Linked DNA regions of Macaca fascicularis. The protein of the gene in region 2 interacts with the protein of the main gene of each other region in a pairwise test. Links are inferred from orthologs where the notes say so. Each region holds a gene or a part of one and is shown on either strand. Other genes may lie near its edges.

The links.
Region 1: the proteins of EVL (region 2) and ABI3 interact in binary tests that used the Homo sapiens proteins (3 or more experiments, as listed by UniProt). The link is inferred for Macaca fascicularis from reciprocal best matches to the Homo sapiens genes EVL and ABI3.
Region 3: the proteins of EVL (region 2) and TRIM9 interact in binary tests that used the Homo sapiens proteins (3 or more experiments, as listed by UniProt). The two-hybrid records come from large-scale screens. The link is inferred for Macaca fascicularis from reciprocal best matches to the Homo sapiens genes EVL and TRIM9.
Region 4: the proteins of EVL (region 2) and SPTAN1 interact in binary tests that used the Homo sapiens proteins (3 or more experiments, as listed by UniProt). The link is inferred for Macaca fascicularis from reciprocal best matches to the Homo sapiens genes EVL and SPTAN1.

The regions. Positions count from the first base shown.
Region 1 is NC_088390.1:57,496,463-57,502,663, reverse strand, and holds part of ABI3 (ABI gene family member 3), read left to right. Parts: intron 1-1,440; coding exon 1,441-1,608; intron 1,609-2,648; coding exon 2,649-2,825; intron 2,826-4,457; coding exon 4,458-4,543; intron 4,544-4,765; coding exon 4,766-4,861; intron 4,862-5,087; coding exon 5,088-5,245; intron 5,246-6,201. UniProt on the Homo sapiens protein: May inhibit tumor metastasis. In vitro, reduces cell motility.
Region 2 is NC_088381.1:168,229,470-168,234,606, forward strand, and holds part of EVL (ena/VASP-like protein), read left to right. Parts: exon of another isoform or gene 1-827; intron 828-3,053; coding exon 3,054-3,120; intron 3,121-3,607; coding exon 3,608-3,665; intron 3,666-5,137. UniProt on the Homo sapiens protein: Ena/VASP proteins are actin-associated proteins involved in a range of processes dependent on cytoskeleton remodeling and cell polarity such as axon guidance and lamellipodial and filopodial dynamics in migrating cells.
Region 3 is NC_088381.1:118,941,104-118,947,304, forward strand, and holds part of TRIM9 (E3 ubiquitin-protein ligase TRIM9), read right to left. Parts: intron 4,192-6,201; coding exon 4,069-4,191; intron 1-4,068. UniProt on the Homo sapiens protein: E3 ubiquitin-protein ligase which ubiquitinates itself in cooperation with an E2 enzyme UBE2D2/UBC4 and serves as a targeting signal for proteasomal degradation.
Region 4 is NC_088389.1:15,332,175-15,338,327, reverse strand, and holds part of SPTAN1 (spectrin alpha chain, non-erythrocytic 1), read left to right. Parts: intron 1-787; coding exon 788-900; intron 901-1,328; coding exon 1,329-1,346; intron 1,347-2,541; coding exon 2,542-2,604; intron 2,605-3,725; coding exon 3,726-3,780; intron 3,781-5,845; coding exon 5,846-6,042; intron 6,043-6,149; coding exon 6,150-6,153. UniProt on the Homo sapiens protein: Fodrin, which seems to be involved in secretion, interacts with calmodulin in a calcium-dependent manner and is thus candidate for the calcium-dependent movement of the cytoskeleton at the membrane.

The DNA.
Region 1 (6,201 bases), on a different chromosome or scaffold from region 2:
AAGTCCCTCTGTTCTGGGCCTCAGTTTCCTTATTTGAGTTCCCAAACACCAATCTGCAGACTGGAGCTAAACAAAGAGTCACATGGAAAGCTTTTTTTTGGTTTGTTTTTGAGACAGGGTCTCACTCTGTCATCCAGGCTGGAGAGAAGTGATGTGATTTTGGCTCACTGCAACCTCTGACTCCTGGGTTCAAGTGATCCTTTTTTTTTTTTTTTTTTTTTGAGACCGAGTCTCGCTCTGTCGCCCAGGCTGGAGTGCAGTGGCGCGATCTCGGCTCACTGCAAGCTCCGCCTCCCGGGTTCACGCCATTCTCCTGCCTCAGCCTCCCGAGTAGCTGGGACTACAGGCGCCCACAACCGCGCCCGGCTAATTTTTTGTATTTTTAGTAGAGACGGGGTTTCACCGTGGTCTCGATCTCCTGACCTTGTGATCCGCCCGCCTCGGCCTCCCAAAGTGCTGGGATTACAGGCGTGAGCCACCGCGCCCGGCAGGTTCAAGTGATTCTTATGCCTCAGCCTCCTGAGTAGCTGGGATTACAGGCACGCACCACCATGCCTGGCTAATTTTTGTATTTTTAGTAGAGACGAGGTTTTGCCATTGTAGCCAGGCTGGTCTTGAACTCCCGACCTCAAGTGATTTGCCTGCCTGGGCCTCCCAAAGTAGTGGGATTATAGGCGTGAGCCACTGCCCCTGACATGGTTTGTTGTGTTTAAGAATGTCGGCTGGGTGCGGTGGCTCACGCCTGTAATCCCAACACTTTGGGAGGCCGAGGCGGGCAAATCACCTGAGGTTGAGAGTTTGAGACCACCAGCCTGATCAACGTGGAGAAGCCCTGTCTCTACTAAAAAAAAAAAATACAAAATAAGCCAAGCATGGTGGTGCTTGCTTACAATCCCAATTACTTGGGTGGCTGAGGCAGGAGAATCGTTTGAAGGCGGAGGTTGCGGTGAGCCGAGATCGCACCACCGCACTCCAGCCTGGGCAACAGGAGCGAAACTCTGTCTCCAGGAAAAAAAAAAAAAAAAAAAAAAAAAATAGAATGTCTGCTCTAGCCAGTGTTGCCTTCCTCTTTCCTTTCTACTATTCACCCCCACTCCAACCCCTAAAAGGACAGCCTGTTACTGAAGTCTTCAGGAGGGTGGTACCATCATCTGTACTCAGTCCTCAGCTTGACTGTTTGAGAATGGGTATATTTCCCTCCCTTTGCATCTGTTCCCCAAGGCTGCAGATTCACTTTTTTAAAGTGAATTTAAAGTGATGTTGTAGCTAGTCCCTCTTGCTACAACATAATTCTGCTGAGAGCCAACGCAAACATCTAAGGGTTGCGGCTCTGTCCCAATCCAGCGCCTATTTTCCCTAAATCCTCTCCCATCCCACCCCAGCCAGCCAAGGACCCAGTGGAAGATGCTGGCCCTTAGGCCAGGGCTGTGTGTATTTCAGGCCACAGACAAGCGGAAGGCGCTGGAGGAGACCATGGCCTTCACTACCCAGGCACTGGCCAGTGTGGCCTACCAGGTGGGCAACCTGGCCGGGCACACACTGAGAATGTTGGACCTGCAGGGGGCCGCCCTGCGGCAAGTGGAAGCCCGTGTAAGCACGCTGGGCCAGGTAAGGGGTGTGGGGCGTGGGAAGGCGTCTTGCATCAGGCCTCAACTCTTCAGCCCGACTCAGACATTTTCTACATCAAAAGTTCCTTCCTGCTTTCCCCCATGTCCAAATGCCCAACTCTACAGCAGAAGGTTGGCACTTTCCAAGCTTTTTGGACCTCCTTATCTCTGTGGCTATGCTACAAATTCCCCGAAGGCAGAGCTTTTTCTTTCTTGGAATTCTATCCTGGACATTAGAAAGTAATATCTACCAATCAGAGCAGCGGCATATACAGGAAAGAAGCAAATGAACCCTGTTTGCATCTAAATACAAGCAGTGCCTTAATAAATATCCTAGACCCAGGGTGCTAGCTTGACAAGGTCATCTTCAGCCCTGGAAGCACTGCCAGCACCATACAGTATACACCCTCCACCCTGCCACAGTGTTCTAGTGCACACACCCTCCTTCCTTCCTGGATCCTTGACCGAGGAATTGCCCCATAAAGCACATGCACAGACCCAGCCACACATTCAGCCTGGCCTGTGCATCACCCACATGTTCAGTGGGTGGGGTGTGCCTTTTCCTCTCCCCCCGCAGACCAGAGTTCCCACCCTTTCGAACTGTAGGCTTTCTCCACGGAACATTCTGAGAGGAAGTCAGTTCACTTATTTGTCTCCCAAAGCTGGTCAAGCCACCATTCTCTGCCACCTCCATATTTTCCCCCTCTGCTCCCAAGCCAGCCCAGTGCTTGTCTCTTCCCGGCATCCCCAGGGATGTTGTGTTTTCTCTTTTCCTCCAGTTCCTGCTCAGCTAATAATAACCCTTACTCTCTTTCCACCAGGAAGTGGCTCCAAAGTGGCTTCATCCTTTCCTGCCACTTTTCCCAATTGCTATGTAGCCTGGTGGGGGAGCGGGGGGAGGGGAAGGGCCCTCTTTTTCTAGACCTCGTTGCCTCCCATGGTCCCTACCCCCAGCCCAAAGTCTCTATCTTCTTCCTCCTTAGGGGGAAGGGCATTGGACACAGACCACCCCTCTCTGTCACCTTGAACCCTGTCATGCAGATGGTGAACATGCACATGGAGAAGGTGGCCCGAAGGGAGATCGGCACCTTAGCCACTGTCCAGCGGCTGCCCCCGGGCCAGAAGGTCATCGCCCCAGAGAGCCTACCCCCTCTCACGCCCTACTGCAGGAGACCCCTCAACTTTGGCTGCCTGGACGACATTGGCCATGGGATCAAGGTAGAGAGAGGGACCCTCTTCTTTCCCTCCAACCCACCCTCTCGTGCCTTGTGGCCCTTTTCCCTCCAGACCCCCAGTTCTCCTGCACATTTTGTCCCAACTTGCCACTGCTTTCTTTCCCCACTCCCTGAAGCCACCACTCTGAGCTCTTCTCCCTCTCCCTAGATTTTGTAATCCCTCCCTCCAAAACTGGTCTGTACCGTCCTCAGAGGATCTGCTGAGTGTGAGATCCTGAGCACCCCTCGCCCCCCCGCCCTGCCCCTGTGCCACCGGGCATGTGGGAAGGGGAAGAGGGGGAAGGGAGGATGTCAGGGTGTGCATGAGAATGGCTCCCAGCCACATGAGAACAGCAACTTCCTCTGTCTGGGGGTTTGAGGTCACTGCACTGAGCAGTCACCCCACAGCTGCTTTGGTGAGAAGAAGCGGGGATGCAGCCACACAAAGGGGACTTGGTGAAGAGAGGGGAGCATGGCGCTGGCGTCTTCTCAGCCCACGTCCTTCTGCGAGGTCGGAGAGGGCACGCACTCACACCCGTCCCGTCTTCAATTCCTGTCTCCACACCTTGACATTTCTGTATTGAAATGAACCCCTTGATATCCTGAACTTATCAGCCCCCCTTAAAGGGGAAACCACACTCTCCCCTTCAACCACCAGGCCTCCTCCCCACCAGTAAGGTCTCTGTTGTCCAACTTATATTCTTTTTTTTTTTTTTGAGATGGAGTTTCACTCTTGTTGTCCAGGTTGGATTGCAATGGCGTGATCTTGGCTCACTGCAACCTCCACCTCCTGGGTTCAAGTGATTCTCCTGCCTCAGCCTCCCGAGTAGCTGGGATTACAGGTGCCTGCCACCATGCCTGGCTAATTTTTTTTTTTTTTTGTATTTTTAGTAGAGATGGAGTTTCTCCATGTTGGCCAGGCTGGTTTTGAACTCCTGAACTCAGGTGATCTGCTTGCCTCAGCCACCCAAAGTGCTGGGATTACAGGCGTGAACCACCGCTCCCAGCCCAACTTATATTCTTTGTGCTTCAGCTCAAATCCCTTTCGTCTTGCCCCTGGTGAAGCCTATGAGGTAACACTGTACCCACCCCTTGGGGAAGTCCCATTGGTAACAGAAGTTCCCTCTTTCATGTGGGTGTGCGCCCTGTCATTTGCACATCCCCTCTAAGTGGCCTGGGTCCTGCTCCTCTCTGCCCTAACTCCCCAAAGCCAATTCCACAAATCTTCGAAAATGACAGGTGGGACACTTCTAAGTGTGATGTGTCCTCTCCTTTCCCCACCGCCTCCTCAGCCCAATCAAAGTTAGGGACTACTAACTAAGCCAGGGCCTCAGCTTCCTGGGCTCTGAGATGGTTTGGAGGAGGGACAGGGGTGCCGGGCCCACTCAATCCGCTGTGGCTGTGCAGAGGAAGTGGCTGTCGGCTTTGGTAGAATTGAGTCCCAGAACCCAGGCAATGACAAGGGGGTAGCGTGGGGGAAGTGTAGGAGAGGGCCCTGAGAAGTGGAAGTGGGAACTGGCCATGCTGGGCTCTCCCTCCCGGTTCTCGTCCGCCCCTCCTCCATTTCCTCTTGGGGATGAGGGTGGGGAGCGGCCTCTCACCCCAAATGTCAGCCCTACCTCCCGCTCCCTCGCAGGACCTCAGCACGCAGCTGTCAAGGACAGGCACCCTGTCTCGAAAGAGCATCAAGGCCCCTGCCACACCCGCCTCCGCCACATTGGGGTGAGGCCTCGCCAACTAGCCTAGCCCTACCCCGCGCGACCCTGAAACTCTCCTCCCCCAGCCTCGCCACCCACCCCTGGCGCCTGGGGGCTCAGGCCGTCATGCTGGATGCCTGGCGCCAAACCTCCCCCTCGGCCACATGCCTTTCCTGCTCACACCCGACCCCTGCTGGCCAGAAGCCTTCCTCCTTCCTCCTAATACCCACTCCCCGACCCCCGCCAGGAGACCACCCCGGATTCCCGAGCCAGTGCACCTCCCGGTGGTACCCGACGGCAGACTCTCCGCCGCCTCCTCCGCCTCTTCCCTGGCCTCGGCAAGGTGAGACCTACAAGCCTGCGTGGGAGGGTGAGGGGTGGGAGGTGGCTTTCGAGAGGGGCCTCCTGCCAGTGGTCATAGTGACTCCTGGGCTTGAAAGGACCCAGTTAGTCCTGGGTCACACGTGCAGGGCTGGGTTCAGGATTGGAGGGGTGGGGCCAGCTGGGGATGCTGCATTAGGGAAGGCGTGTCGCCAACCGGGCCGAGCCCCGCTTTCTCTGGTGTTCAGCAGCGCCGAAGGTGTCGGTGGGGCCTCCATGCCCAAGGGGCAGGCAGCACCTCCAGCCCCACCTCTCCCCAACTCCTTGGACCCACCTCCTCCACCAGCAGCCGTCGAGGTGTTCCAGCGGCCTCCCCCGCTAGAGGAGTTGTCCCCACCCCCACCGGGTAAGGAGCTCCGCCCCCTTCTTCTTCCCAACCGTGGGGTCGCTTTTCCGCCTCCTGCCATTCCCCAGCCCACCTCTCTTGGATCTGCCCCAGCCAGCCTCAGTGAATGCCTCCTCCATGGAGCGCAGCACGGGAGCGAAAGGAGGCGGAGGAAGTGAACTAACATAACTTAGCGCCTGCTGTATACCAGACCCTGTGTTCGAAGCTTCTCGTCCATTTTCTTATTTAAACTTAATCCTGGCCGGGCGCGATGGCTCATGCCTGTAAACTCAGCACTTTGGGAGGCCGAGGCGGGCGGATTACCTGAGGTCGGGAGTTCGAGACCAGCCCGACCAAAATGGAGAAACCCGGGCTCTACTAAAAATACAAAATTAGCCGGGCGTGATGGCACATGCCTGTAATTCCAGCTACTTGGGAGGCAGAGGCAGGAGAATCGCTTGAACCCGGTAGGCAGAGGTTGCGGCTAGTGGAGATCCGGCCATTGCACTCCAGCCTGGGCAACAAGAGTGAAACTCCCTCTCAAAAATAATAATAATAAACTTAATCCTAAAGGCCAGGTGGGGTGGCTAACGGCCGTAATCCTAGCACTTTGGGGGACTGTGGAGGGCAGATCACTTGAGGTCAAGAGTTTGAGACCAACCTGGCCAACATGGCTAAAAATACAAAAATTAGCCTGGCTGGTGGTGCATGCCTGTAATTCCAGCTACTCAGGAGGCTGAGGCAGGAGGATCACTTGAACCCGGGAGGCCTCCAGGCTGCAGTGAGCTGAGATCACCCCACTGCACTCCAATCTGGGTGACAGAGCGAGATTCCCTCTCAAAAAAATAAAATAAAACAAAACAAAATAAACTTAATCACGAGAGGGTCCTTAGCACTCTTCCTTAATAGATGAAGCCACTGAAGCTGAAGTTCAGTGACTTGCCCAAGAGCCACCCAGCTAATAAGAGGTAGAGTCT
Region 2 (5,137 bases):
CTTCTCCAAGCCTCTCTTTCCCCCCCCCCACAAAGTGAGGTGTGTTAACCCCTGCTGCACAGGGCAGTGGTGGGGACAGCTGTGCAAACAATAGCTGGACATGGAGTGTGGTCACTAGCCAGGGCCGCACACTGCAGTTCAACTAGTCCTATCTCTGGCCCTGAGCCCCACCCCTTTCCTCCAGCCCAGAGTCCTTCCTCTTCGTCCAGCACACAGAGCCAGTTTCCCCACAGACATGCTGACCATATTTCCCGAGTCAAAAGCTGGCATGACAACATGATAGAACATTTGGAACTGAGGTTGCCCAAAAAGGCAGAGGCAGCCAGCCACATAGTATCTGGAGGCACATTTGGCCTGAATTTGAAGGCCTCTAGAACCTGCATCAAGAACGTCTCCATTGCCACCACAAGTTGAAGGGAAACCACCCTTGTCACAGAGCAGGAGGCATTGAAACTGGCCTTGCAGAGCTAAACAGGTGGCGAGCAGAGCAGAGCGTGGCCTGGCCCTGGCAGCAATGCCGAGACCAGTGTGGGTGGACAGAGATGAGGCGGCCTTAGCGGTCAGCTGGGGTTTGTCAAAGGCTTATGGTCAGCCGGGCCGTGTGCTGGGGACACTCCCTGCCTGCAAAGAGCACCGCGTGATCAAGGCCACTGGGGTCCTGAGGGGTGCTCTGGAGAGGGTGTGGGGCCACATGGTGGAAGGGACAGGGCGCTTTGGGGAGTGGGGTGGGGCAGGCCTCTGCCGGGAGCTGGCATTTTCGTTGACCCGGACGAGGAGGAGTCTGCTGTACGGAGATCATGGGGACAGCCTTCCAAGCAGAAGGAAGGGTAAGTGCCAGGGCCCTGAGCCTGCAGCCACCCGAGAGCTCTCCCACACCTCGGAGTAGACAGCAGGCCATGGGGCGGGGGAACGGGAAGGGTGAGGAAGAGGGTGTGAGGGAGCGCTGAGCTAGAAGTTTAGATTGTATTCATGTGCAGGGTGTGAGGGAGCAACGAGTTAGAAGTTTACATTGTATTCATGTGCAGGGCCGTCAGGGAGCTTGAGGCACAGGGTGCCATGATGATGGCTGGGGAGGGGAAGGCAACCAGAGTGGGCAAAGCGAGGGCCCTGGAGCAGATACAGCAGCAGGGGGAGCCTGCAGCGCTCCCAGTGGACCCCGCCCTGTCCTGCTGGTGCAGCAAAGGCAGGCTGCCATGTGAGTGGCCAAGGGTCGCTCACTGGGCAGGAACATTGTCAAGGCCATTCATGCTTGGAATAGGGTCTCTTTTCAGCTCTGAGACAAATCTGTTCTCTGATTTCCAGATGGCTCCAAGGGGAGCATGTACCACCACCCCTCTGGTGTGTTGCATTGCTTAGGAAGCCTGCTGTGTTTCTCGCTGGGTGGCTATTAGGGCTGCAGATGGAGAGGGCCAGGGCCTGGCGAGGCGGAGCAGTCGGCCCAGGTGTCCCAGCAGTTGTTGCTGGAATAGGGTCTGGAACCCACAGGAGAGGCCTGAAGGACCCAGGGGCCTCTGGCTGGATGCGTTTGACTCTCAGGACCCAGAATTACAGACCTATTTAGGGCTACGCTTGGCCAACTCTTTCTTGAGCTCATCTGGAGAGTGTGGGAACACGCATTCTTCATCCTTATTCTCCCTGGCTGTGGGCAACAGTGGTCCTCAGAGTCACCAGATGGTCCTCATCTGTGCCCATAACCCCTCAGCAGCCAAGGCTGGCCCTGCCAGATAAATGTGTTGTGCCTGTGGTCACACCCAGGGGCTCATGCCACATACGTTTCCCTGAAACCATGGGCTCCAGCCTCCATTCTGTCCATGTGGGAGGGAACTTGGGTCCCAGCAGTGTGTCTTGCAGCACCAAGTCACGTTGAAAAGACCAGATAGACAAGCATTTTGCCAAGATCTTCCAGGGAAAGTGCATATGTGACACATTAACATTCAAATCAGGCCGGCACGGCGCTCATGCCTGTCATCCTAGCAGTTTGGGAGGCCGAGGCAGGAGGATCACTTGAGCCCAGGACTTCGAGACCAGCTTGGGCAATACAGTGAGACCTCATCTCTACAGATAAAATTTTTAAAAAGTAGGGCACATGTCTGTAGTCCCAGCTACTGGGAGGCTAAGGTGGGAGGATCACTTGAGCCTGGGAGGTTGAGGCTGCAGTGAGGCATGATATGCCTCTACACTCCATCCTGGGTGATACAGTGAGACCCTGTCTCAGATCAATAAAAATAAAATTCAAATCAGTTATCTTAGTTCAGAAACTTTTCAAAGAAGTGGTCCATGCAAACTACCCCGAAAGAGCAAAACCAGCCAGGTGCAGTGGCTCACGCCCATAATCCCAGCACTTTGGGAGGCCCACCCAGGTGGGTGGATCACGTAAGGTCAGGAGTTCGAGACCAGCTTGGCCAACATGGTGAAACCCCGTCTCTACTAAAAATACAAAAGTTAGCTGGGCTTGGTGGCACATGCCTGTAATCCCAGCTACTTGGGAGGCTGAGGTAGGAGAATCGCTTGAACTTGGGAGGCAGAGGTTGCAGTGAGCCAAGATCGAACGCTGGCTCCAGCACCGGGGGTGCTGGTGTGTGTCAGGAGCGCGCCTCCAGGCTGGTGTCAACTCTGCAACTTCACATTGTACCTCCTGCTGCCGCTGCTGCTTCCCCGAGCCCCAGCTCAACCTGGAGCATGAGCTCCCAGCCTGAGGAGGAGGCTGTCGATACTGTTTTTCTTTCCAGGGAGGCAGCGGGTGGGTGCGATGTTGTCACTTAAGTTGCCACCTCTGTGTAAGAGCTCTCTGATCAGAAAGCAGTTTCTTTGTTGACCCCAGCCAGCCTTGGCTCTCAGGTTGGGAAATATGGTCACAGTATCCTTGGAGACCTCTCCAGGTAGAGACTGGGTCTGAGGTGGCCAGAGTCCGAAGCAAGCAGCCTCTGTGGAGCGAGGGGAGCAGGTGGGCCTGACCTGAGCGCAGCCTCTGCACAACCAGCTTTCCCCCACACCCATCTCCAGCCAGGGCACCCACAGGCCCTGCTCCCACTTACCGCACCCGCCCTTCCCAGGATGAAGCCTGCTGGGAGCGTGAATGACATGGCCCTGGATGCCTTCGACTTGGACCGGATGAAGCAGGTGAGCGTGCCCTGTGCCCTTCCCTCAGAGGCCGAGGGCAGCCAGTAGGCTGGGGACCGTCTCTGACCAGCACGGCCAGGCAGGCCCTGGGGGCCCACACGTGGCTGCCAAAAGGCCAGTCAAGGAACAGCCGTGGAGGAAAGGGGGTGCCCAAGCCTGTCCTTCGTCCCCAGCCCCTGCCATCACCAGAATTAGGATGTCCCTCAACCTTTCTGGGTACCTCCCTCAGGCCTGCCTCTGGGGCTTTCTGCCCCGAGGCAGCCCTTAGTTTCGGTGGTGTCTACCTGAGGGAGGTGGTGGCAGGATTTTCCCAGGCCTCCCACACCGTTCCCCCTCAGCGTGGGAAGGGGCCACGAGGAGACAAGGGTGACAGATGCAACTCTGGAGAGGCCCAGGAGGCCCCGAACCCTTTGGACATAGCCCAGCCCAGGCCGGCTTTTCTGTCTCCACTGCCTGTCCCTTCACCTGGACGCTCCTCTCCCAACAGGAGATCCTAGAGGAGGTGGTCAGAGAGCTCCACAAGGTGAAGGAAGAGATCATTGACGGTGAGTGGAGCCCCAGGCGGGGCCACAGAACGAGGGTCCCTGTCACCCAGGGTGGGGACCTGCCGTTTTGAGCTGAAGCCCATGCTGTACTGGGCCCTGTGAGAGATTCATTCTTCTTACAATCTCTACTTGAGGAAACAGGCTCAGGAAAGCTAAGTGGCTTGCCTAAGAATTTGTAGCCCCCTGGTAGTATGACACCTGAATGTGACCTTCCACACCCTTGCACCTTCCTGGAAGACCCACGTGGGAAGTGCATGGAGGGGAGACCCCAGCATCGTTCCAGAGCCAGGTCTGGAGGAAACCACCTGAGCTTCTGTCATTTCACCCCCTGGTGGTTTATGTTGCCTTCTTGATACTGCCACCTCGAGTCACCGGTGTTGGGGTTCTGGGGGGACCATTCTGCCTTCCTGGGGGTACAGGGAGACCAAGCACTACAGAAGCACCTTCCAGGCCTGAGCTCGTTCACAATCTGCCTGGTCCCGGACTGGGGCGCAGGCGGGGAGCAGCCTCTGGCTGCAGAGCAGGGCGGGCCTCAGTGCATCACATCCGTCCTTCTGGTTTCCACCAGAGCCTTTGAGCGCACTGGCTCAGATCTGCAGCCAGAGGAAAAGGGGGAGTCTGGGCAGGGCAGACTCAGGGGACAGAGCTGTGCAGCACAGCCTGTGCCAGCTCCCCCACCTGCCTCCCCAACCAGGGTGACGAAGGCTGACACCTAGGTGTGTAGCTGGGTCTGGCCCCCAGGGCATCACAGTGACCTGGGCAGAAGGGTCCCACAAGCACACAGGGGCGGAGGCTGATGGCAGAGGTGAGAGGCAGGTGGGAGTCCGAAGACCCAGGCCTCCTCCCGCCGCCGGCCCACCCTTGTTTGAGCAGAGAGCACTCAGTTCCTGTTTGTCCAGTTCCCCCAAAGGCCTGGGCTGGGGAGATAAGGAGTTAACAAACGAGGGGAAAGAGGCAGCCTGGGCGATAGGCAGGCACCCAGCCAACTGGTCACACCACCTTACTGCCAGGCGCCATCCGGCCCCAGGCACAGCTGGGTCAGAAACTCAGGGCCCGCCACAGCCTCTCCACCTGCCGTGGTGCAGCCCCAGGTGGAGGCCGCCCTGGCTGAGAGCCAGGGGAGGGGAGGCATGGGCTATGCCAGGGGCCCTGAGAAGCAGCTCCCTGTTGCTGGGGGATGCCTGCCCCCACCACCCCTCACCTTCTCCTAGCTGTTGGCTCTTGGCCCAACAAGGTCCATCCGGGGAGAGGCCTGAGCTGACATAGAGGAGGGGGAGTCTGGGAGGGGATGGATACCAGAGGAAGGAGGGAAAGGCCCAAATTTGGGAGGCAGGGGGTTGGTGCACTAGCTTGGGGTGGTGAGGAAGCGGGGAGGAGGCAAGAAGACAAGAGAGGCCCCGCCTCTCCTGAGGAGTGAGCAGAGCCAGGGTGGTCCCTGGGGTCCAGGGCCAAGATTTCCTGCTGACCCCTGC
Region 3 (6,201 bases), about 49 Mb from region 2:
TTTTTTTAAAGATCTTTCAGGATCTTAGTGTTCAAAGGTAATCAAGAAAATACATATCGCCTCTTACTATTCAATGTGTGAATTCATTCTAAAATATTAGAGAGCACACATTTAAGACAATTTCAGAGTTACGTCAAATTGTGAATGTTACATAAACAAAAATAATTTCTAGATATGTCTTTGGGCTTATCAAGAGAAAGTGGCATATGTAAAGTTTCTGAAGAAAGCATAGATCTCATTAATGGCACAATTTAGTTTAAGTGTTGTCATAAATCCCCTGTGAGGAGCACAGATAGGAAATTTAAGGCTTTCTTCAGCTACAGCAGACCTGGGAAGGATGTTAACACAATGGACAGACCAAGACAAAACACCCGGGGGTCCAGTGTGCTCTGCTGACTGTTGGAATATTGCCCAAGTAGCTCCAAATAAGAGTTAGTAATATTTTTCTTGGAAGCTCAAAAACACTTCTTCCCTCAGTAGCTTTCTGACATTCGCATTAGTTCACTACATTTGGAAAACAGATATTTGGTTCCCAGCATTTTATCAAACCACAGAGTAGGATTAACTATAATTTACATTTCAAACTGTTTTCCTCAAACATGCCCACATCTGCATATGTCTCAGAAGCTGTTTTGTTTTTGTTAGCTCACCAAACTTTGTGAACTATTTTATACAATGATCAATTACGAATTCATGCCACTAAAGAATCTCCCAGGTTCATGGATAATAACACCAGTGTATGGGCTAATTCTAGACTATGGACTATGGTATCATAGAAAACAAGCCCCTGGAAACTTTTCTTCAGTGTGTTGAACGAAACCATATTTCCAGTCATTCTCTCTCGATCACAACATAATAGTTAATACACATTAAAGATCGTGCTAAGTGCTTTGCAATGCCCTGTGAGGTACCACTTCTAGCCTTATTTTACAGACAGATGAAATAAATTTTTGAGTCAAAGACTTGCTCAAGGTGAGAAACCTAGTAAGTGAGAAAGTGTGTCCTCTCACTCCAGCCTCTATGACACAGAACATGGGCTCTTTACTACTCAGTTCCATCTTACTTCAGAACCAGAACTATTAAATCTGTTCAAGCAATCAGTGCTTTCAGAGAGGGACATGAGTAGATTATAAAGACTGTGTAAATACACACTCACTTTCCAGCATCCTTAGTTTTTTGGATTGCTCTAGGAGAGAGATGCCAGAAAAATACACACACAATTCCTCTCTTTGTCAGGAAAAAGCAGGCGCTCAGAGAACTCAGCCAAAGGGAAGCGGAAGAACATAAGATTACCCCTGCAGGACAGTGAGTGATGGGTTAGCCAACAAAGATAGAAAGAAGTACTGTGCTTGGCAAGTGATGTCTATAAAAGGCCAGTGTTTTCTCACAAACCTGAGTAGCAACAGAAGTGACAAGAAAGGGAAAAGGCAGGGGGAGAGAAGGAGAGCGAGCGAGCCGTGGAGGCCTGTATCAGTGGTCATGACGGTGTGAGTGGCACTGGTGGCTGTTTTTGGAAGCAATGACAGATATAATCAGCTGAAAACAGCAGAGAAACAAATCACTCGTGACAGAAGACAGAACAGCTTTGCTGCTGTGGGGGATAGCCAGCCACCTGTCTCTGGTTTCTGCAGTCCTTTGAGGTCTGGGCAGGAAACTCCAGCCTGAGCAGGGTGGAATGAGGGCAGGCAGCTGCCTCTGCTCAGCAGCCCCCAAATGCATCCGCATGCCCTGCCGGGGCAGCCCAGCCAGTACAGATGGACCATCAGAGGAGGGAAGAGGACATAGTCACGCGATGTGGCATCCCAGGGATGCGTGAAAGCCATTCCTGGGCAATGACATCTGCAGCTACAGCACAGTCCTTAACTGATTTTCTCACAGTCCTGTTCTGCAGAGGCAGCACGGAGCAGGAGGGCAAAGGGGGCTTCTCATGCCTTCTGCCATTCTTTGATAGGGATAAATGATGCATTCTCAATCGTCAAAAAATTCCCCCTTCCCTCCAGATTGCTGCCTTTATGTCTCTCCCATATAGAAAAACTGGAGTTGCCCTACCATCACCATGGGACTGTCCCAAACTGTTCACCATATTCTTTTAAAAAGTGCCGGGAAGTGTTTGCAATGTTTCAAAAAAGACATTTCCATTAAGAAAAAAGTTAAAATGTTATGGCTAGGTACTTAAATAGTTGGTCCACTATTTAGTGGGGCAAACTGTTCAGTTTCATTTCCCAAAGACATTTGTGGTTTTATTTTATACAGTTCTATGTGATTCAAATGATATTTTGAGGACTGCTATAACAATAAAAGTTTGGGTTTCTGAAGGGTGCTCAAATTGAAGGGCTACAGTGACAGTTTTTTAGCCATGTTAGGCGAGGTGCTGGATACAGAAAACATCCATTGGTCCTCAGGCCTAACCGGATGGACCAAGACCACAGTGCACATGTGCTAATCACCCTCTTCTTCCCTGACAGCTTTGCCGATTCCTGCAGGTAGGAATGTAAGTGGTCATTAACACACACTTCCTATAATTTGGACTGCTCAGGTGCCAGCTCTTGTTACTCTGTGACCATTTTAGCTGCAAGTAATTTTGCCCTGTCACAACTTCTGTGACATTGGGCACCTCTCTGTGACCATTTTAGCTGCAAGTAATTTTGCCCTGTCACAACTTCTGTGACATTGGGCACCTCTCTCCTGGAAGCCCACTCCCTACCTGTGTTGGGGTCAGCTGTGGGTATAACTTATCTCTTCCATTGAACTGTAAACTCCATAAGGGCAGGACTCCTTCTGAGCCACCTTCATTTCCCTCCCTCCTCCTGCTCCCCTGCCCAGCACTATGAGCATATGGTCAGACCTCATTTCCCCCTTCATCCTAAGCCATGCCAACACTGCACACTACATACCCACCACCCGCCAGTAGCCACTCTGAGGCCTGCTGGCCACATGTGTGGGCCTCAGCTGATTGTCTACTGCTGGACCCCTTCTGGTTGGTTCTTCTCATCCACTCATCCTTCCTCTCACATCTTGTTGCCCTGCACCAATGGGGCGATAGATGGAATATCAGATGTCTCCTAGAGGACCAGTCCTGCCAATAGGGTCCCATTCTTATAGCCAATTGATTCCACCGTGTCATGACAAAATTCTGTGCAGCTTCCAACTATAAAGTTCACTTGAGAAGTTAAGACAAATCATGTTGATTTTCTAGAAAGTACAGATTCTATTTCTCAATTCAAAAGTACATTTTTGCCTCTGTATGGTCACTCTATCTAAAATTTCCACCCCCATCCCCAGTACACACTATCCTCTTATTCTACTTTTAAAATTTTTCTTAGCACTTTTTTACTAATGTACTCCACATTTTACTTACTTATTGCTATGGTTTCAATATATCCTCCAAAACCCATGTTGAAATTTAATTGCCATTATAAAAGTATTAAGAGGTGGAGCCTTTAAGGAGTGATTAGGACATGAGGCCCCTACCTTCATGAATGGATGAATGCTATTATCTTGGGGGAGGGTTAATTATCATGGGAGTGGGCTCCCACTTAAAGGTTGAAGTTTGGCCCTTATTCTCTTGTTTCCCATGCTCGCCTGTCCTTCTGCCTTATGCCATGGGACGATGCAGCATGAAGGCCCTCACCAGAAGCCAACACCATGCTTTTGGACTTCCCAGCCTCCAGAACCAAGAGCTAAATATAATTCAATTATTTATAATCACCCAGTCTGTGGGATTCTGTTACACCAACATAAAATGGAGGAAGACACTTATTTATTATTTATCCCTCCTGATAGAATGTAAGTTGCATAAAGGCAAGAATTTTGATTTATTTATTATTCCTATGTCCACAGCAGTTCCTGGCTGAGAAAAGTCACTCAACAAACATTATTTGGGTAAATGAAGGAGTAAGCAGTGAATGAAGAGATGTGCCTGCTCCTTTCTGGCCAGACCACTGGCTACCCAAGGCTGTGGGCATCCTCTCCTTCTGTCCATGGGAAGGAATTCTCCCAGCCTGTCCATCATGCCTCCCAGGAGCCTGGCTTGTTGGCTTTATGCTCTTCCCATGATGCAGTACTTACCTTCAGCTTGTGCTCATGCTCCTTGTTGACGCGGGCCAGCAGCTGGGCTTTTCTTCTGTTGAGGGCATCGATGAGGGCATCGCATTGGGCCACCAGACAGGCTTCAAACTCCACACTGTTCTCCTGTGTAATAGAGCACATTTCTCAACTGCAAGGTGCTGGGTGCCTCAGGCTGCCAGAGAAAACAGAGCTCCCCCATCCTGCTGAAGGGAATGAAAAGGAACTCTGTCCACAATGCACATTTGGTAATTTTTTAAAAAATAACTGGACAAACTTTATTCTACACTGGTCATGTTTTGCTTTAAATTTAGATTAAAAGGATAAATATTTATCGCTTAAATTTATCAAAAGGAAGTCATCTCCACAATTTGAATTATATTAAGTAAAACAAAGCTATAGTTTATAGAGTTGTGTATGAATGCTTTTGAAGGCCACATATGTCCAGCTACGTATGATGGAAGCTGGCATTCAAAAAGGCAATGAGGAGGGAGTGGGGCATTGCTGAGGTATGAGAAATCATTAAATTCAAAGGAATAAAGAAGAAAAAGGATGGCACTGGTCTTCAATGTTAACAATAATCCAATGAGAACAGAAGTTTATAAGATACAAGAATAATGGGTAAAAGTACTTGCCCCTTTCATTAAGGAAAGCAAATAGTAGGCAGACAAAAACAATCAATGTGTGTAACAGGGATCACCCTGCCATAAAAATCAGATATGACCCAACACCTTGCAGGAGAAAGGCAACTTCATGCTAAATGAATTATAGCTTCCCTTTGATGTTTAAATTAAATGCTGGATATAACATTTTTATTTGATTTAAATCTGTACATGCCATAAACATTTATTTCAAGCAATTCTTTCAATGAGTTATACTCTGTTATTAAGGATAAGCCTTTCAATGAGTAACATATGCAATTGTGATTCTTAAACCATAATCTGAAAAAAAAGTAATTTACAGTAAATGAAAGCTAAATACTCACATATACATTAGTAGTACTTAAAAAGCACCACCCAGTTGAGGAAACTGTAAACTTTTGGGGGCTGGCAAGGAAGGCACAATTTTAATTTATTTAAGGCACAAATTTTAATTTATTACCAAAGTCATAAAGAACTGTGTCTCTTTATGTAATAATCAGCTGGTAGGCATTTAGTAATTGTTTTCAAATGCAAGGTCTTCGTATAAGGAATGTGTTAGTAATTGCTTGAGCAATGCTAAATTTTGGCTTTCAGGGCAATTGCTTTTGAACTCTCAGAGAAGGCCCTTGGAAAACATCATTTAAGAGCTCTCTGTGCCACATGAAGGGTAATATTGGAGGGTGGGGTGAGGGCAAACCTTCCCCTTGTAAGCTCTGTCACTGATTTAGAGCAGAAAGAAAGCTTTGCTCTGATGAAGAGGCCCGGGCAGAAGCAAGCCTGGGGCTGCACATTTTATGCCAGTAGAGTAAAGAAAGAACTGATTGATAAACTCTATTGCTTTGGAAAACAGAAGGAAGTATACAAAACTGCTAGGCTGTTAGGGAATCAAAAGTTTAACATGGGCATGTGTGCCAAAAAAAGGCAAAGAAATTAGTGTGTAATTCTTTGAAAGGGTGGCTTACATTTAAAAATCCATTTCTGCCTTGACATGGTTAAATATGAACTTAGTCAACTTACTGGAGGCCAGGTTATTTCTGTGAGACAAACCTCAAAACATAAGAATGCTAAACAGTACACAGGGTCATTATTTTAGTGTTTCATACAGTCTATGGTTTTTCTCCTTCAGCTATAGTGGAGAATTTATGAGCTCTTAAATGCTGGTTGAACTGCTGGTCATTGTGTCTAGATAAAGCAATCTGAAATTGGAGTTGCCAGGGGATCGTGGTTGAAAAATATTTAAATGTCTAAGCAGAGGAGAAGCATTATTGTGGGTCAGGGAAGAAGAAAAGAAGAAAGAAAGGCAGAAAGGGAGGAAGAAAAAAAGAGGAAGAAGGAACAAGGGAGGAATGAAAAAGAAAACAAAGGAAGGCAGGAAGGAAATAAAGGAAGGAAGAAAAAAAGAGAAAACCGTGACCTGTTACCATTAAATGATACAATTATTACAAGGTGTTTTGGAAACCTACAGGGCTTTACCAACTCAGCAATAAGGATCCTG
Region 4 (6,153 bases), on a different chromosome or scaffold from region 2:
GTGGTCCTCTTTCCTGAGCCTCTTAAATAACTGGGACTACAAGCACATGCCACCACGCCTGGCTAATTATTTTAATTTTTGTAGACAGGGTGTTGCCATGTTGCCCAGGCTGGTCTTGAACTTCTGGCCTCAAGCAGTCCTCCTGCCCAGGCCTCCCAAAGTGCTGGGATTACAGGTGTGAGCCACTGTACCCAGCCAGAAGTTTCCAGTTTCCTTTTTTTTTTTTTTTTTGAGACAGAGTCTCAAAGGCTGGAGTGCAGTGGCCGGATCTCAGCTCACTGCAAGCTCCGCCTCCCGGGTTCACGCCATTCTCCTGCCTCAGCCTCCTGAGTAGCTGGGACTACAGGCGCCCGCCACCTCGCCTGGCTAGTTTTTTTTTTTATTTTTTAGTAGAGACGGGGTTTCACCGTGTTAGCCAGGATGGTCTTGATCTCCTGACCTCGTGATCCGCCCGTCTCGGCCTCCCAAAGTGCTGGGATTACAGGCGTGAGCCACCGCGCCCGGCCAGAAGTTTCCATTTCTGACAGTCCAGCAACTCCCTGCTTGACTGGCCAGTCGCTTCCCCGCCAGGTCCACCCCTTCCTGAAGCACCTCGGGGGGTGGGAACAGAGAAAGAACTACCAAGTGCTCTGAGCCGGCCTCATGTCTCCCAGCCTCCTTCCCCTCTCATCTTTGGGGAGGTTCCTTGCAGGGAGGCCACCTCCATCCATCCTGAGCCCATCTGTGAAGGAGGGGCTGGTGTCACTGCCACAGCAGTGCATAGCATCTGCCCCCCTTTGGCCCTCAGGAGAGGGAGCTGGAGCTGCAAAAGGAACAGCGGCGGCAGGAGGAGAACGACAAGCTGCGCCAGGAGTTTGCCCAGCACGCCAATGCCTTCCACCAGTGGATCCAAGAGACCAGGTGCCAGCCCTCTGGGGCCAGGGGGCAGCAGCATGTCCCTGCTATGCTTAAGCCCTGGAGAGCCTCCAGCCCCCAGGAGGTGGGGGTGCTTTGTGTAAAACCAGAGGCAGCCTGGGAATAAAGCTGGGCTGGCAATGCCTGGTCGTGTTTGGAGCCGGGAGTGGGAGCATAGGTAGAGCAGCCTCCCAGTGCTGCATGTCCCAGAGACCAAGTTGCTGGAGCTCCTGGATTGAGTGGGGCCACACAGGGTGTGTGATCAGCCCCAGCAGTGATTTGGCGACAGACGATGCAGGGTCTATGCACTGAGTACTGATGTTGCTTTTGTTTTCCTTTCTTTCTTTTGTCTTCTCTCTGTCCCCCACCTCCCGATTGCTGCTGTTGTCCGGATACCACCTTGTCTCCTGGCTGCTTGGATCTGCTCTCCACAGGACATACCTCCTCGATGGGTTAATATTGTTTTCTTCCTTCTCCGGGCTTGTCGTGTGGGGTCTCGTGCGCTTGCCCCTCTGCCCTTGTCCTGTAGCCTGGCTTGTGGAGGATCCCGGGATGGGCCTTCCTGCCCAGGGCAGGCTGCACTTCCCCTCCCACCTTTCCCATCACCTGACAAGGAGCGTGTTCCTTGCCCCAGAGCCCATGGTCCCGGGTCCCCGATAGAGCCTTCAAGCCAGAGGGAGCTACCCTTGCCTCACTGAGTGATTCCAAGGGCTCACTTTGGGTAGTGAAGGTGATGAAGCACGAAGGCCAGAGCTGGAGTCCAGGGGCCCTGAGAACCCCCGCGCCTGTCCAGTCCCCGGGCTCTGTTGGGCTCTCAGCGCTGCTTCCGCAGCGTGTCCAACAGTGGTCAGTGGGCATGAAGCAGATGGCAATGTTGGGGGCTCAGGCAGGGTACAGTAAGTTCACAGCTGAGAAGGGCTGGGCACTGACACCTCCCAAGTAGCTGAGGCTGCCACTTGACTTTCCTGGGGTCAGGAAGGGTAAGAACTGTCCGCCCTAATAGAAGGCAAAAATGCCCCCGTTATGATGTGATAGACAGGACGTGGGAGGAGCCCCAGGGAGGAGCAGAGCTGTCCCACCCAGTCCCGGTGGGGGCTTCTCTGCTCAGCCTGGGGCCTCTCCCTGGGCGGGTCACCTTTGTCATCTGCCAAGCCCGCTGTGAAAGCCAGGGCTGGTGGGACTGGAGTGGCTTAGCCTGCACTCCTGAGGCTCAGCACACAGGCATATCAAGCCTGTATAGGCGGCCAGGAGAAAAATAGACCCCTCCAGCCGGGCCACACATTCTGATGGCAGAGCAGCTGGGGACGTAGGGATCGCAGTTTCTGGCCTGTGCCCGTAGGACACCCTGGCCACCTGACTCCCCTCCCTGCCCCATGGCTGTGTCTGCTGGTCTTGTTCTTGTCTCCATGAGGTCATGAGGTGCCACGCTCCCCTCACCTTATGGCTCCTTCCAAGCCCTGCCCTTCTTGCCCATTCCTAGTGTGAGGTGCCTGGGGTGAGCCATTGGGCCTGCTGCCTCCAGGTACCCGCCAGGCACCAGGTTGCCCTTGCCTGCGCCCTGCCAGCTTGGGCCTTGTATGTCTGTTGCAGTGTGCTCTTGCCTCCCCTCCCTTTGGTGTATTCATTTGGTTTCTTTTCTTTGACTAGCATAGCATATCGTCGAGTCATTCGTGTCTATCAGTATGAAGTTGGGGATGATCTGTCTGGAAGGTTTTTCTCCTTATTTCTCTTCTTACCTCACTGTGGCTTTACTGATGCACTCTTGACATCCCCAGGCGGCTCCACCCTGACTAACCTGCCGCCCTCGGCCGCTTGGGAAGGAGGGGTCTGTCCTCCCACTGCACCGGCACCCAGCCTCCTGCCCCCAGGTCCTGGGGGGCATTTTCCCCGGGGGGACATGGCGTGACTGTGAGTCTGACCTGCTGGGGTAGGAGGAAGCCTGGTGCCTTGCCTTGCTAGAGCACTTTGAACTTGGGGAGATTGCAGAGCTAACCCCAGCTCACTGGGTTTTAAAAGGGTAGGCTGGGGCGAATGTGGGTACAGGGGAGCTTGGGCTAAAACCCCACCAAGGCCATACACCCTGTGTGAATCCATCCTTGCACGTCCCTAACTTGTCGTCTTTGTTTACTGGTAGCCTCTGTGACCTGGCACTGTGTTCTCTTGGGAAGGAGCTTCCCCAAAGCCCATCTGCTCTCAGAACTTGATCCTAGAGAGGAGGCTGCCTCCCTGACTGTGTCTAGAGGATGAAACCGGGATCTGGGGCTTAGTCACAGCCATCCCTCCTTTTGGCACAGTTGGTTGTGATCTCCCAGCACTCCACTTGTGTCCTTTGTCTGCAGGGTCGTGCTCTCATTCCCCCTAGAATGGGGCTCCCTCCTCAGGAACCTTGCCAGGACACTCCAGGGTTTCTATGGGGAGGCTGTCAGGTTCTCAGCCTCCCCTCTGCCCTGAGGTCTCCCGTCTGTCAGGTGTCAGGGTGTCCCATCTCCTCCAAGGCTGCAGAGAGGATGCTCAGACAGGCTTGCAGCTGCCCTGTACCCATGGGGGAATTTAAACTCCATTCCTGAGTCATCCTGGCCTTGGGAGCAAGACGAGTGGGCTCAGCCCTAGCCCACACCAAGGCAGCAGCTTCCCATCTCTAAAACGGGAGAAATGCTCCCTGCCCTCCCTGGATTCCTGGGGCCCATTAGATAAAGATGGCCAATTGCAGTTAGGTTCAGTTCCCTTAAAAGGAATGTGAGGTTGCCAGGCACTGCTCTGAGAGAAGGTTCATTCTGAGCTCTCGGCCAGCTGGGAGCAGGCCCTTTTCCTTACTGTCCTTCTGTGTCTAGGTCCTGCATGGTGGAGGAGTCGGGGACCCTCGAATCCCAGCTTGAAGCTACCAAAGTAAGTGCCCATGGGGCTGTGGCCCAGCAGAGACCCCTCACCCAGCCACCCCCCAGGCTACCCCTTCCCTTCCTGGTTTAAAGTCAAGAACCAGATGTGCTATTGTACTCTTTTTTTTTTTTTTTTTGAGACGGAGTCTTGCTCTGTCACCCAGGCTGGAGTGCAGTGGCCGGATCTCAGCTCACTGCAAGCTCCGCCTCCCGGGTTCACGCCATTCTCCTGCCTCAGCCTCCCGAGTAGCTGGGACTACAGGCGCCCGCCACCGCGCCCGGCTAGTTTTTGTATTTTTAGTAGAGACGGGGTTTCACCGTGTTAGCCAGGATGGTCTCGATCTCCTGACCTCGTGATCCGCCCGTCTCGGCCTCCCAAAGTGCTGGGATTACAGGCTTGAGCCACCGCGCCCGGCCTATTGTACTCTTTTCCCTTGGTCTAAAGCAGTCTAGGGCTCTTCTCTCTCTCTTCTTTTTTCTTTCTTTCTTCATGGAGTCTCATTCTGCCGCCCAGGCTAGAGTGCAGTGGTGCGATCTTGACTCACTGCAACCTCTATCTCCTGGGTTCAAGTGATTCCCCTGCCTCAGCCGCTCCCAAACAGCTGGACTACAGATGTGCCAGCACGCCCGGCAAATTTGTGTTTCTTTTTAATTATCCTTTGAGATGGAGTTTCACTCTTGTTGCCCAGGCTGGAGTGCAGTGGGCATGGTCTTGGCTCATTGCAACCTCCACCTCCTGGGTTCAAGTGATCCTCCTGCCTCAACGTCCCAAGTAGCTGGGATTACAGGCGCCCACCACCACACCTGGGCTGTTTTTGTATTTTTTGTAGAGACAGGGTTTCATCATGTTGGCCAGGCAGACTGGTCTCAAACTCCTGACCTCAGGTGATCTATCTGCCTTAGCCTCCCAAAGTGCTGGAATTAAGCGTGAGCCACCACACCTGGCCTAATTTTTATGTTTTTAGTAGAGACAGTGTTTTGCCATATTGGCCAGGATGGAGTTGCCATCCAACTCCTGATCTCCAGTGATCTGTCCGCCTCGGCCTCCCAAAGTGCTGGGATTATAGGCGTGAGCCACCACTCCCTACCGAGGGCTCTTCACTTTAAAGAAAGTCTGGGGCTGGGTGTGGTGACTCACGCCTGTAATCCCAGCACTTTGGGAAGCTGAGGCGGGTGGATTGCTTGAAGTCAGGAGTTCGAGACCAGCTTGGCCAACATGGTGAAACCCCATCTCTACTGAAAATACTAAATATTAGCTGGGTGTGGTGGCAGGCACCTGTAATCCCAGCTACTCAGGAGGCTAAGGTAAGAGAATCACTTGATTCTGGGATGCAGAGGTTGCAGTGACCCGAGATCAGGCCATTGCACTCCAACCTGGGTGACAAGAGCGAAACTCCATCTGAAAAAAAATTAAGTCTTTGGGCACAGTGGCCCACACCTGCCCCAAGTCCAGCATGGGCAATGTAGCAAGACCTTGTCTTAAAAATAAGGCTGGGTGTGGTGGCTCATGCCTGTAATCCCAGAACTTTGGGTAGGCCAAGACAGGCAGATCACTTGAGCCTAGAAGTTCAAAACCAGCCTGGTCAATGCAGTGAAACTTCACTTCTACTAAAAATACAAAAATTTGGGTGGGTGTGGTGGTGGGCACCTGTAATTCCAGCTACTCAGGAGACTGAGGCAGGAGAATCACTTGGACCCGGGTGGTTGCAGTGAGCTGAGATTGCCCCACTGCACTCTAGCCTAGGTGACAGAGTGAGACTCCATCTCAAAAAAAAATTAAAGATCTTTGGCCATTGCTTCCTGGAGTCCTCACCGCACTTATCCTCAGTGTGCACTGCCCCCTGGCAGGTCTACCAGCTGCTTTAGAACCCTCACATTGAAAGTCTCTCCTCCTGCTGAGGTGGTTGGGGTTTCTTCAGCTTCACCCCATCCCACTATTCCTATTCTAAAATGTTCTTGTTTTAAGAGGTCTCAGGCCAGGCCTGAAGCAGGAACCAGAGGGCAGTAAGTGGCTCCTGGGCTGGTGACTGAGCTGAGGGCCCCTGTCTGAGCATCTGTGCTCCCCGCCCCTGCAGCGCAAACACCAGGAAATCCGAGCCATGAGAAGTCAGCTCAAAAAGATTGAGGACCTGGGGGCCGCCATGGAGGAGGCCCTCATCCTGGACAACAAGTACACGGAGCACAGCACCGTGGGCCTGGCCCAGCAGTGGGACCAACTGGACCAGCTGGGCATGCGCATGCAGCACAACCTGGAGCAGCAGATCCAGGCCAGGTACCCGGGAGGGCTGTGGGCCAGGCTCAGCCTGGAGCCCAGGGAGGAAAAGACATGGTCACCTGCTGTGTGGAGGGTCTGCTCCCTAATTTCTGTTCTTCTTTCAGGAAC